2 linked regions of the Saccharomyces cerevisiae S288C genome follow. The protein of the gene in region 1 binds, or shares a complex with, the protein of each later gene. Each region holds a gene or a part of one and is shown on either strand. Other genes may lie near its edges. A codon is read from its position in the direction of its gene.

Region 1 (6,435 bases):
TCTGAGAAAGTAGGCGTTTTTCAGCTACCTCAGTCGCTAAAAATAAATGCGAGTTCTCAAGCCAACTTGGACTCCAAGGCGGTAATTATAGTGATTCTCTTTGTCTATTTTTGGATTTATTTTGGAGGCTGACACTCTAAAGCCAGCCATTGGATTAATTATTTTTTCACTTCGTCAATTGACTATGCGGAAAAACTAAATGTGGTCAAATTCTGTCGGCTATGTACACGAAAACTATATACGCCTCGTCCTTTCAGCCACTACAACATAACAACACCGACATTGCTACGCCTTTTAATGTCGTTACTATTGTCGGGATTCAAGCCACCGGTAATCGGCTTTGCTCTATAATTAAATAAATAGAAGTTCAAGAACCCGTCACCGGGCCCGAACTTCAAATCATCCAAGAACAATGTATTATCTTGCGAAGTCAACGCGTTAAAAACATCCATATTAGCGTTTTTGGCCAAAATACAAGCGTCATAAATCAATTCACACAATCTTGTTTTCAAAGCCTTAGTAGCTTTTGGATCAAACCTGTCTTTGAATTGGAAATCTGCATCGGTGGCATAATAATACAAGTACCCGATGCCTAGGTCCTTATATTTTGTGTTATTTAGGATTGTGAATGGCAATGAGTAAAATGAGAAGAAGTCTGTAATTTTTCCATCGGGCTGTTCGACTACATATGAGAAAATTACTTGTTTATCCAATGGTAACGATTCTTCACCAATGAAATTATGTTCGAATTCTTCTTTTGTGAAAATTTGAATTAGTTCGAACCTGGATTGATATCTTTTGAACAACTCAAAAACTTGGTCAATATCTTCCTTCTTTAATTTTCTCAATCCCGCTGTCTTTGTTTTGGCCGGTAACGCATTCTCAGCAATCATATCCTCCTCTGTGTGCCCATCTGGTAACCCTGTGAAATCTACTTCATAAAGTTTCTTCCAATTCAAGGGACGATGAGTATAACGACACGTACTCACAGGTGCTGGCAAAACAATACCTGCCGTGTACAATGCATGCCAGATGTCACATTTGTTCACTCGTCTCGTAATTTCTTTAATTAGAACAGGTGTTAATCTCTTCGATCTTAGCTGTTTGTGAACGCACAAGAAATTGATTTCTACACTAGGCACTTGTTTACCTCTAACACCAAGTGTTACTGGTATGGCTGAGATAAAGGCAACTAATTTCTGTGTTTCTTTAACGCGAACACCAATATGCCAATCCTTCTTCCAACCTGGACTCTTTAAAGCCCAATTGAAGAATTCTTTGGTATAGTTAAATCTGAAGCCTGCATCGCGGTCTTCCACGTAGTTTTCATTTAGTAGAACGAAAACATCTTCAAGCTGTTTTTTGTTGTCCACATCAATACTACACCATTCGAAGCTAGACAATAAAGGTAGTGGCTTGTCAGATATATCTTCCGGTGTCTTTGGCTTATCAATGGGGCCTTCTTCCACCACCTTTTCATCGAAATCTTTGACCGGTTGCGTTCTCCAGAATTTGTGGTCTTTCATAGCTTTTTTCTGTTCTTGAGTGAATTTTGAAGTATCGTCATTATTCAACTGTAATAACTTCAATAAATTCTCTAATTTTTTCGCTTTATCCTCTTCTGACATTCTATAAATACGTTTACTACCGAAGCTCTATGACAACCAGAGCTATTGTACAGATCATTCTCTAAAAAGCGTGCAACACATATCATCTTCAATTATAGTGAATTACTTTTATCATGAGCAACGGCTGAAATTATTTTATCCTATTGTTTTATGACAGTATCCTTTCAAAAGAGTCGAAAGGATCCTCTGTTGCAAGAACTACTATTACGTAATTATACATAGTCCGCCTGCAATTTCTAGTGAGACTTTGCTTTGCTTTCCACTTTGCGATTAATATTGAGAATTTTAAACGTTAACTGAATTCTTACCCACCCATAATAAGAACTCTAACTGGCGAATTTATCATGAAACAAATCTGCAAGAATAAAAAATTAGAGAATCGTGCAATTCAATTTAATTGCCTTGTCCGTTGTAAAACTTTTCCATAGGCCCTACCTTGAGTTGATCATATGTATTATTCTATATATATTATATCCAGTCGGGTAATAAATTTTCTCGCCCTCGAAAAAAAGAAGTGAAAAATTTGTCTCGATGAGCTGAGATGAGTTTGAAAGAAGCAAAGAGTTTTAATTTGTAAACGATAGCAAGTGTACCCTCAGTTGAGTCTATTACGCCTTCCTTATTTGGAAACTTAGAAGACGAATAAAAAAAACAAAATAACTAATGATTTCTGCTACTAATTGGGTTCCAAGAGGGTTTTCCTCGGAATTTCCTGAAAAGTATGTTCTGGATGATGAGGAAGTGGAAAGAATTAACCAATTAGCACAGTTGAATTTGGATGATGCTAAAGCTACTTTGGAAGAAGCAGAAGGCGAATCAGGTGTTGAAGATGACGCCGCAACAGGTAGTTCTAATAAGTTGAAGGATCAGTTGGATATAGATGATGATTTGAAAGAATATAACCTGGAAGAATATGACGATGAGGAAATTGCAGATAATGAGGGTGGTAAAGACGTTTCCATGTTCCCGGGTTTAAGTAATGATAGCGATGTTAAATTCCATGAGGGTGAAAAAGGTGAAGATCCATATATTTCATTGCCTAATCAAGAGGATAGTCAAGAGGAGAAGCAGGAGTTACAAGTTTACCCATCCGATAATTTAGTTCTTGCTGCGAGAACAGAAGATGACGTTTCGTATTTGGATATCTACGTTTACGATGACGGTGCTGGGTTCCACAGTAGCGATATTCCCGTTGAAGAAGGTGATGAAGCTGACCCAGATGTTGCTCGTGGATTGGTTCGTGACCCTGCACTTTACGTTCACCATGATTTAATGTTGCCTGCTTTTCCACTATGTGTTGAGTGGCTTGACTACAAGGTTGGATCCAATTCCGAAGAAGCAGCCAATTATGCTGCCATTGGTACGTTTGATCCACAAATTGAAATTTGGAACTTGGACTGTGTTGACAAGGCCTTTCCCGATATGATTCTGGGTGAACCTCTTGATAATTCAATGGTGTCTTTGAAAAGCAAAAAGAAGAAGAAGAAGTCTAAGACTGGACACATTACTACTCATCATACCGATGCTGTTTTATCCATGGCACACAACAAATATTTCCGTTCCGTTTTAGCATCCACCTCTGCAGATCATACCGTAAAACTATGGGATTTGAACTCAGGTAACGCAGCCCGCTCCTTAGCTTCCATTCATTCAAACAAAAATGTTTCATCATCTGAATGGCACATGTTGAATGGTTCCATTCTTTTGACCGGTGGTTATGATTCTCGAGTAGCTTTAACAGATGTTAGAATTTCTGACGAAAGTCAAATGAGTAAATACTGGTCTGCCATGGCAGGTGAGGAAATAGAAACTGTTACATTTGCCAGTGAAAATATAATATTATGTGGTACTGATTCTGGTAATGTGTATTCTTTCGATATTAGAAACAATGAAAACCGTAAACCAGTTTGGACATTGAAGGCACACGATGCTGGTATCTCCACATTATGTTCAAACAAATTCATCCCTGGTATGATGAGTACAGGGGCCATGGGTGAAAAGACTGTCAAATTATGGAAATTCCCCTTGGATGATGCTACGAACACTAAGGGCCCAAGCATGGTTCTGTCTCGTGATTTCGATGTCGGAAATGTATTGACATCGTCATTCGCTCCAGACATCGAGGTAGCGGGTACCATGGTCATTGGTGGTGTCAATAAAGTTTTGAAACTATGGGACGTTTTTACCAATAGATCTGTACGTAAGAGCTTTAAAAGTGAACTAGAGAATGTTCAAGCAAGAGCAAAAGAAGAAGCCCAAAAAATAGGAAAAAGTTCAAGAATCGCCAGAAAATACACCAGTAACGATAACCCAGATACTGTTATAACCATTGATGATCAAGGTGAAGATGAAGAAGAAAGAGAAGGTGGAGATGAGCATGATGACATGGCATAATCTGGATATGAAAAATATTAAAGCAGAGTACATTGCAAGTACAAATAAAAAATCTATAGAAGATAATACTGTATACTAGTGTAAGAGGAGCCTCAGAAAAAAACAATATAATACATTAATATGTGCTGTTACGGTATAATTTAGCATATGATGACAATGTGGTGAATTACAGTTGTGTAACTTTTTTATATCACCCGGCATATATACGCTCGTAGAATGCGATGTGAAAATTTTCTTTTTTTTTTTTTTTCAAAGTGAAATTTTTTTGAGTGATGAGATGGGAAATGAAAAATTTTGTGCAATTGCGTAGTGTCTACAGTTTTTTAAGTAGTTATTAAAAGTGTTTTGGAAGGTATATTTCTAGGAGAAGAAGCGTGCAGAACAGTATTTAGTGAAAGATGGCTCCTATTGAATACCTACTGTTTGAAGAACCTACTGGTTACGCAGTTTTCAAGGTTAAGTTGCAACAAGATGACATTGGTTCAAGATTAAAAGAAGTTCAAGAGCAAATCAATGATTTTGGTGCTTTTACAAAGTTAATCGAACTTGTATCTTTCGCGCCATTCAAAGGTGCTGCTGAAGCCCTTGAAAATGCTAACGACATATCAGAAGGTTTAGTCTCTGAGAGTTTGAAAGCTATCTTGGATTTAAACTTACCAAAGGCTTCCTCGAAAAAGAAGAACATTACTTTGGCTATTTCCGATAAAAACTTAGGTCCTTCTATTAAGGAAGAATTTCCATATGTTGATTGTATTTCAAATGAACTTGCTCAGGATTTGATTCGTGGTGTCAGATTACATGGCGAAAAATTATTCAAAGGTCTACAATCTGGTGACTTAGAAAGAGCCCAATTAGGTTTAGGTCACGCTTACTCCAGAGCTAAAGTGAAGTTCTCTGTTCAAAAGAACGACAATCACATCATTCAAGCTATTGCTTTATTAGATCAATTAGATAAAGATATCAACACTTTTGCTATGAGAGTTAAAGAGTGGTATGGCTGGCATTTCCCCGAACTGGCTAAATTGGTACCAGACAACTACACTTTTGCCAAGTTGGTTCTTTTTATCAAGGACAAAGCTTCATTAAACGATGACTCCTTACATGATTTGGCTGCTCTTTTGAATGAGGATTCGGGAATTGCACAAAGAGTCATTGACAATGCCCGTATCTCCATGGGACAAGATATATCAGAAACCGATATGGAAAATGTTTGTGTTTTCGCTCAGAGAGTCGCTTCCTTAGCTGATTACAGAAGACAATTATACGATTACTTATGCGAAAAAATGCACACTGTTGCACCAAACTTATCAGAATTGATTGGTGAAGTGATTGGTGCTAGATTAATTTCTCACGCAGGTTCCCTAACTAATTTATCTAAGCAAGCAGCTTCAACGGTTCAAATTCTTGGTGCTGAAAAGGCTTTGTTCAGAGCTTTAAAAACTAAAGGTAACACTCCAAAATACGGTTTGATTTACCACAGTGGTTTTATTTCTAAGGCCTCTGCCAAGAACAAGGGTCGTATTTCTAGATACTTGGCTAACAAATGTTCTATGGCCTCTAGAATTGACAATTACTCTGAGGAACCATCTAATGTTTTTGGTTCCGTACTAAAGAAACAAGTTGAGCAAAGATTAGAATTCTACAACACTGGTAAGCCAACTTTGAAGAATGAATTAGCCATTCAAGAAGCCATGGAACTTTATAACAAAGATAAACCAGCTGCAGAAGTGGAAGAAACCAAGGAAAAGGAATCCTCAAAGAAGAGAAAATTAGAAGATGATGATGAAGAAAAGAAGGAAAAGAAAGAGAAAAAATCGAAGAAGGAAAAGAAAGAAAAGAAGGAAAAGAAGGACAAAAAGGAAAAGAAAGATAAAAAGGAAAAGAAGGATAAAAAGAAGAAAAGTAAGGATTAAAAGGAACAATGAATCGAAATAAAGTATATCCCATCTTTTTGTGTACTTTTCTTCCCTTTAAAGTTTTTCATATATATATATATTATCTTTTATTCCCTTCTAATATTCTTCTTTAGGATTTGGAAGCTGTATATTGTATATTTAGAAATATTATTAAATAAAAAAGTCATATGTTATTTTGAGCTTAAGTACCCTCTTATGCCTCTTTCACTCGCCATTACTGACATTCTGTGATCGCCATTCATATATATAGGCCTGATTGTGCACCAATTGCCGCGCTATCACACCTCCATAAGCGATAGCATTCTTCAGAATATCTTGAAGGCTCAAAACCAAGCCATTGACCGCACAAATCAACTAAAGAACCCATGTCAGACAACGAAAGTTTCTCAAATCCATTAGGCCCCTCACTAGGCGCTACAAGACATTTAAATTTCAGTCCCTTACTGGGACCGACAATCAATTGTGTTAGCACACTTCCTATGAATCCCGTTATAAAT
Region 2 (5,091 bases), on another chromosome or scaffold:
ATACAGTGATGTTTCTTATGGGCAAAGCCAAAAAAAAAAAAATACGTAAGAGTGACAGATGAAGAAGTGACACTTTGAACAAAAGACTCTATCAAAATTTTTTCAGATTCAATCCAAGGATAAAGAGAAATCTATGATGTAGTGTTACAAGAATTAATGATATATGGTCATCAAACAGTGTCGAGACTGGAGAACAGCTTATCGATATTGTTCCTACCTTTAAAAAACTCGAAATATGATTATGATTTCTACTTGCTTGCTCTTAACAATTAATGACCAAAAAGTCACCACATATACTCTTTTTTTTTTATATGGCGAATACGTACAATACTTTTGTTCTCTAAAAGAATTTAGTAATATCTATTTTACAAAGTCGAGGGTTACAAAAACTTCAAATAGGAAGTGAAACTGAATGGGGGAAATATATATAAACGAAACAATTATTCTGCTAATAATTGAGCAAGCTACCAGAAACTTTTGACTAATTTCCTTTATTCAACTTATTTCTTCAAACCGCTTCTCATGTATCTACCAACGACGATACAATGGTCTCTTTCATATGGCTCTAAAGTCAATTGTTCTAATGGCTTAATACGTTCCTCACGTAACTTTTGAACTTCTCTAGCAAAAACGGTTTCCGCGTCTACAGTAGAATCAATACAGTTAGCCTTAATGGAGATAACAACACCACCTTGGTCCTTCAAGAACATATGAGAGTTCAATGCAATAATACGAGCTTGATCAGGCTGGGCAACATCTGCGAAGACACAGTCAACCATACCAATCAACATTCTGTATTTTTGTGGGTGTCTAGCATCTTCAATGATTGGGATGATATTAGGTCTCTTCTTTGCCATAGAAATCAATTCTCTGCCTGGTCTGTGAGAAAATTCTACGGCGTAGACAACACCTTCTGGACCAACAACATCTGAAACGTGAGAAACAGAAGTACCGGAAGCAGCACCTAAATATAAAACTTTCTTGCCTGGGGCAATAAATAATTCATCTAGACCACCCATAATACCGGCAGCCAACTTAGATCTGAATGGGTTCCATACACGGTATTCGACCTTGGTTGGTGGGACACCATCTTCCTTAGATGGTTCTTCAACGGAGATTCTCTTTTCACCATAAACTGATTCACCTGGGGCCATGTTCTTGGTAACTAGCAAATCTTCTTTACCTCTAGCAATGTAAACACCGGCATGTCTATGTGGTTCAATAACGACCTTGGCACCACCACGGGCACCACCAGCAGCGCCACCTCTACCACCTCTGGAGCCACCACGGGCACCACCACGAGAACCGCCTCTACCACCGAAGCCGCCTCTGGAACCACCACGGGCACCACCACGAGAACCGCCTCTACCACCGAAGCCACCTCTGGAACCACCGCGAGCACCACCACGGGAACCGCCTCTACCACCGAAGCCACCTCTGGAACCTCCACGGGAACCACCTCTGCTACCTGGTCTGAATGACATTACTGTTTTAGTTGATTTGAGTTAATTTGATCGGAGTTATTGAAAGCAATGGGCAACTTAGATTTATCCGATGAATGATATCTAATTGTTTCTCGAAGAATAACTTATATAACAGTAGTATACCGATGTAAGGAAAACTTCTTGGCTATGTAAAACTTTTTGAAAGTTAGAGGAAGAAAGTATTATACATTCAAGAGAGATGAGCTTTCCAATTTGAAAAATTTTTCAAGAAAAAGAAAAAATTTGAAAAAAAAAAAAGAAAAATATAATAAACATATCATTTTGTACGCAAAAAGTTAAGGAATTATGAAAAGGGACTAAGAGCGTGAATTTTACAGAACGGAGGACAGTAAGATTATATTCTATTTAGCTATCTAGAAACCAATTGAGCTATTTGAGAGAGATACATATTTTGAATTTAATTTGAAAATGCCTATCACCATAAAAAGCCGCTCTAAAGGGTTAAGGGACACTGAAATTGACTTATCCAAAAAGCCTACTTTAGATGATGTTTTGAAAAAAATCTCTGCTAATAACCACAATATCAGCAAGTACAGGATAAGATTAACCTACAAAAAGGAATCTAAACAAGTTCCGGTTATTTCAGAATCGTTTTTTCAAGAAGAGGCTGATGACTCAATGGAATTCTTCATCAAAGATTTGGGTCCCCAAATTTCATGGAGATTAGTCTTCTTTTGTGAGTATTTGGGTCCAGTCTTGGTTCACTCCCTTTTTTATTATCTATCTACCATTCCCACAGTTGTTGATAGATGGCACAGTGCTAGCTCCGACTATAATCCATTTTTAAACAGGGTTGCATATTTTTTAATTTTAGGACATTATGGAAAGAGATTATTTGAAACCTTATTTGTTCACCAATTCTCTTTAGCTACTATGCCAATTTTCAACCTGTTCAAAAATTGTTTCCATTACTGGGTTCTAAGCGGTCTCATTTCATTCGGTTACTTTGGCTACGGCTTCCCCTTTGGGAATGCTAAGTTATTCAAATACTATTCATATTTGAAATTGGATGACTTGAGTACATTAATTGGTCTTTTCGTGCTTTCAGAACTATGGAACTTTTATTGCCACATTAAATTGCGCCTATGGGGTGACTATCAAAAGAAGCATGGTAACGCTAAGATCCGTGTCCCATTGAATCAAGGTATTTTCAATCTTTTTGTTGCTCCCAACTATACTTTTGAAGTTTGGTCTTGGATTTGGTTTACTTTTGTGTTCAAGTTCAATTTATTTGCCGTTTTATTTTTGACTGTTTCAACAGCTCAAATGTACGCATGGGCTCAAAAGAAAAACAAAAAGTATCATACCAGAAGAGCATTCTTGATTCCATTTGTATTTTGATCCTCCTGTTTGCAACATGCCCAAATGCAAGGTAAAGAGATATTAGCTTTCACGAAGTGGCGTAGTAGCACTATTGTTTAAGTATCGTCTGCACCTGTGCCTTTTGGTATTTGGCACTATCTTAAGCGCATGCCACCAATTATGCTAAACCGTTTCACTTTAAGAAATTTTTATTTAAATCTTTCACTATGCAAATATGTAAGTACTTTTAAAATTCTCTTTCCAAAGAAAAGGAAATTATTTCAGACTAGCAGTAATTTATCACTTTGCTATTCAGATATTAGGAGAACATCCTTATCGAGCAAATCTGCCTCGCTTGAGCTGACAACGTCATCTTCGTCAGTACTCTCGCCATCCAGTAAATATGTGTTTTCATTCAATTCATTGAAAAACGGGGTTTTCAGTAAATCTTCTGCTGAACTACGCTTTTGAGGATCCATTTCGAAGCATTGTTCCAAAACCTGGAAGCACCAATAATGATCGGACCAAATTTCTTCTTGATACTTTTTCAACTCATAGGCATCAACAGCATCCATATTTGTCTTGGGGTCAGGTAATTGAGGTTCAATGGACATCCTGTCATGTAATTCTTGTTGTAGAAATCCGAATGTTTCAAAAGCAACACTGTACTCAGGGAACGTACCTATGGTACATTCTTTATTAAGCAAATCATAAACAAATTCCTTCAATCCATTAGAATATCCGTTTGGTTTATCCCAAATGAGCCCACTAGCTTCGAAACCCAATCCATGCAACGCTGCGCATTTTCTTAATTCTTTCCAACCAAAAATAGTACATAACTCTAGCAAAGAATCCGCATCATCTAAACTTTGGAACATTGGAAATCTTCTGCCCAAAAGACTTAAAAGAATAACACCTACGGACCATATATCAATCTTTGTGCTTTGAGCCCCACACTTCATTAACACTTCTGGTGCCCGAAATCCACGAGTCCCTGCTCTATTAGCCCTTTTAATTCTACGCGTTTCATTTTTAGGATAACCCTTTGTCAGATCCACCCCATTTACATTGTTTAAGTGGACGACCTTGCCATTTTGTATGGTGACCATAGGAGGTGTTTGGTTATGTGAGTTAGGAGAATATTGATTACGCATAATGCATGGACAAAATTGTTCGTGATTCCTCATTGAATATCCACCATCATGGTTTGTATTTGCATAATTGTCGTAATCGTTTTGACTAGATATCATGCTTTTATAATCCATTTGAGCCTCGGCTAGACCAAAATCAACAAGCACTCCACGCCCCAATTCCAAATTAAATAAAAAATTTGTCGGTTTGATGTCTCTATGAATAATTCCCTTCGAATGAACAAACTTCAATGCTCTTAGTAGCTCCCAAATGTACTTCTTGATTCCCTTGATTGGTAGATCCCTGTAGAAAGTTCGGAACTCCTCGTGGGGATAGTACGGTAAAACAGCAATGACTTGATCTCGCACCCTTTTTGCATCACATAGAGGGGCTACTCTCGAAGATCCCGTCATTATGTACAGCAGGTTGAGCTCATTATAAATTCTTTGCGGTGACGAGGTAACGTATATTTTCTTCAAAGCAACATAGTTCGAACCATAATTCCAAAAATGTGATGCAAATTTTTTTGTTATTTTCCCAGTGATATCTTTGGCTTTATACACTGACGAAAATGTTCCCTCACCGATCTTGTCTATGAGTTTATATTCATTTTCTATACCCGGTAGATCATGATAGAGCTGTATCATCTCTTCTTTGATTTCTGGAGGTATATCATCGATATTCTTCGTTTTGCTTGTCATTATGATTGTTCTACTTCGAAACTGCCTCTTTCCTAAGAAAATTAGATAATAGCACAATTGTTATTGAAAATTTAAGGTAGTCTGTTACTTCCCGTTACGCCTGCTGAGCGGTTTTTTTTGTTAATGGTTCTTGCATTGATTTTAGGCGGAAATGTGAAGTGCTCTTCTACTCACTAAATTGATGCCGTTCAAGAAGACGCCCCAGGGCAAAGAAGACATAATTTAAAAGCTGACCGGGGACAAATGTTTAAGATTTATGTAGGCCTAAGGCGTTTATCGAGCTAAACGGGAAGTAATTTTACTCTATAAAATGTCATCTACACAAGCATTGCCCCATTAGATTCTTAATTATCTTCAAAACCAGGGCTACACCTTAATTTCCCAAGCTAAAAACATGCTTATATAGAGGTTTAAAAAAAAAGCGTCGTTCGTTGATAAAGTTTACGAACGTA

The links.
Region 2: the proteins of NOP56 (region 1) and NOP1 are in contact, whole or in part, in a crystal structure (PDB 6ZDT), measured with the Saccharomyces cerevisiae proteins. Residues at the interface, in NP_013298.1 of Saccharomyces cerevisiae: Glu10 (codon at 4,448), Glu11 (codon at 4,451), Pro12 (codon at 4,454), Lys32 (codon at 4,514), Gln35 (codon at 4,523), Glu36 (codon at 4,526), Asn39 (codon at 4,535), Phe56 (codon at 4,586), Asn65 (codon at 4,613), Ala66 (codon at 4,616), Ile69 (codon at 4,625), Ser70 (codon at 4,628), Glu71 (codon at 4,631), Ser101 (codon at 4,721), Asp102 (codon at 4,724), Leu105 (codon at 4,733), Glu122 (codon at 4,784), Gln125 (codon at 4,793), Asp126 (codon at 4,796), Arg129 (codon at 4,805), Arg132 (codon at 4,814), Leu133 (codon at 4,817), Glu148 (codon at 4,862), Gln151 (codon at 4,871), Leu152 (codon at 4,874), Leu154 (codon at 4,880), Gly155 (codon at 4,883), His156 (codon at 4,886), Tyr158 (codon at 4,892), Ser159 (codon at 4,895); in NP_010270.1 of Saccharomyces cerevisiae: Lys169 (codon at 980), Val193 (codon at 908), Tyr195 (codon at 902), His201 (codon at 884), Arg205 (codon at 872), Ile208 (codon at 863), Ser209 (codon at 860), Ala211 (codon at 854), Lys212 (codon at 851), Pro215 (codon at 842), Ile217 (codon at 836), Ile218 (codon at 833), Pro219 (codon at 830), Ile220 (codon at 827), Ile221 (codon at 824), Glu222 (codon at 821), Gln228 (codon at 803), Lys229 (codon at 800), Arg231 (codon at 794), Met232 (codon at 791), Leu233 (codon at 788), Ile234 (codon at 785), Gly235 (codon at 782), Met236 (codon at 779), Ser257 (codon at 716), His258 (codon at 713), Met259 (codon at 710), Phe260 (codon at 707), Leu261 (codon at 704), Lys262 (codon at 701).

The regions. Positions count from the first base shown.
Region 1 is NC_001144.5:541,677-548,111, forward strand, and holds NOP56 (snoRNP complex protein NOP56), read left to right. Parts: upstream 1-4,420; coding exon 4,421-5,935; downstream 5,936-6,435. Other genes in the region: glycylpeptide N-tetradecanoyltransferase NMT1, read right to left, coding at 261-1,628; rRNA-processing protein PWP1, read left to right, coding at 2,292-4,022; PBA1 (Pba1p), read right to left, coding at 6,177-6,435. UniProt on the Saccharomyces cerevisiae protein: Required for 60S ribosomal subunit synthesis.
Region 2 is NC_001136.10:423,757-428,847, reverse strand, and holds NOP1 (rRNA methyltransferase NOP1), read right to left. Parts: upstream 1,485-5,091; coding exon 501-1,484; downstream 1-500. Other genes in the region: trans-2-enoyl-CoA reductase (NADPH) TSC13, read left to right, coding at 1,914-2,846; serine/threonine protein kinase CDC7, read right to left, coding at 3,116-4,639.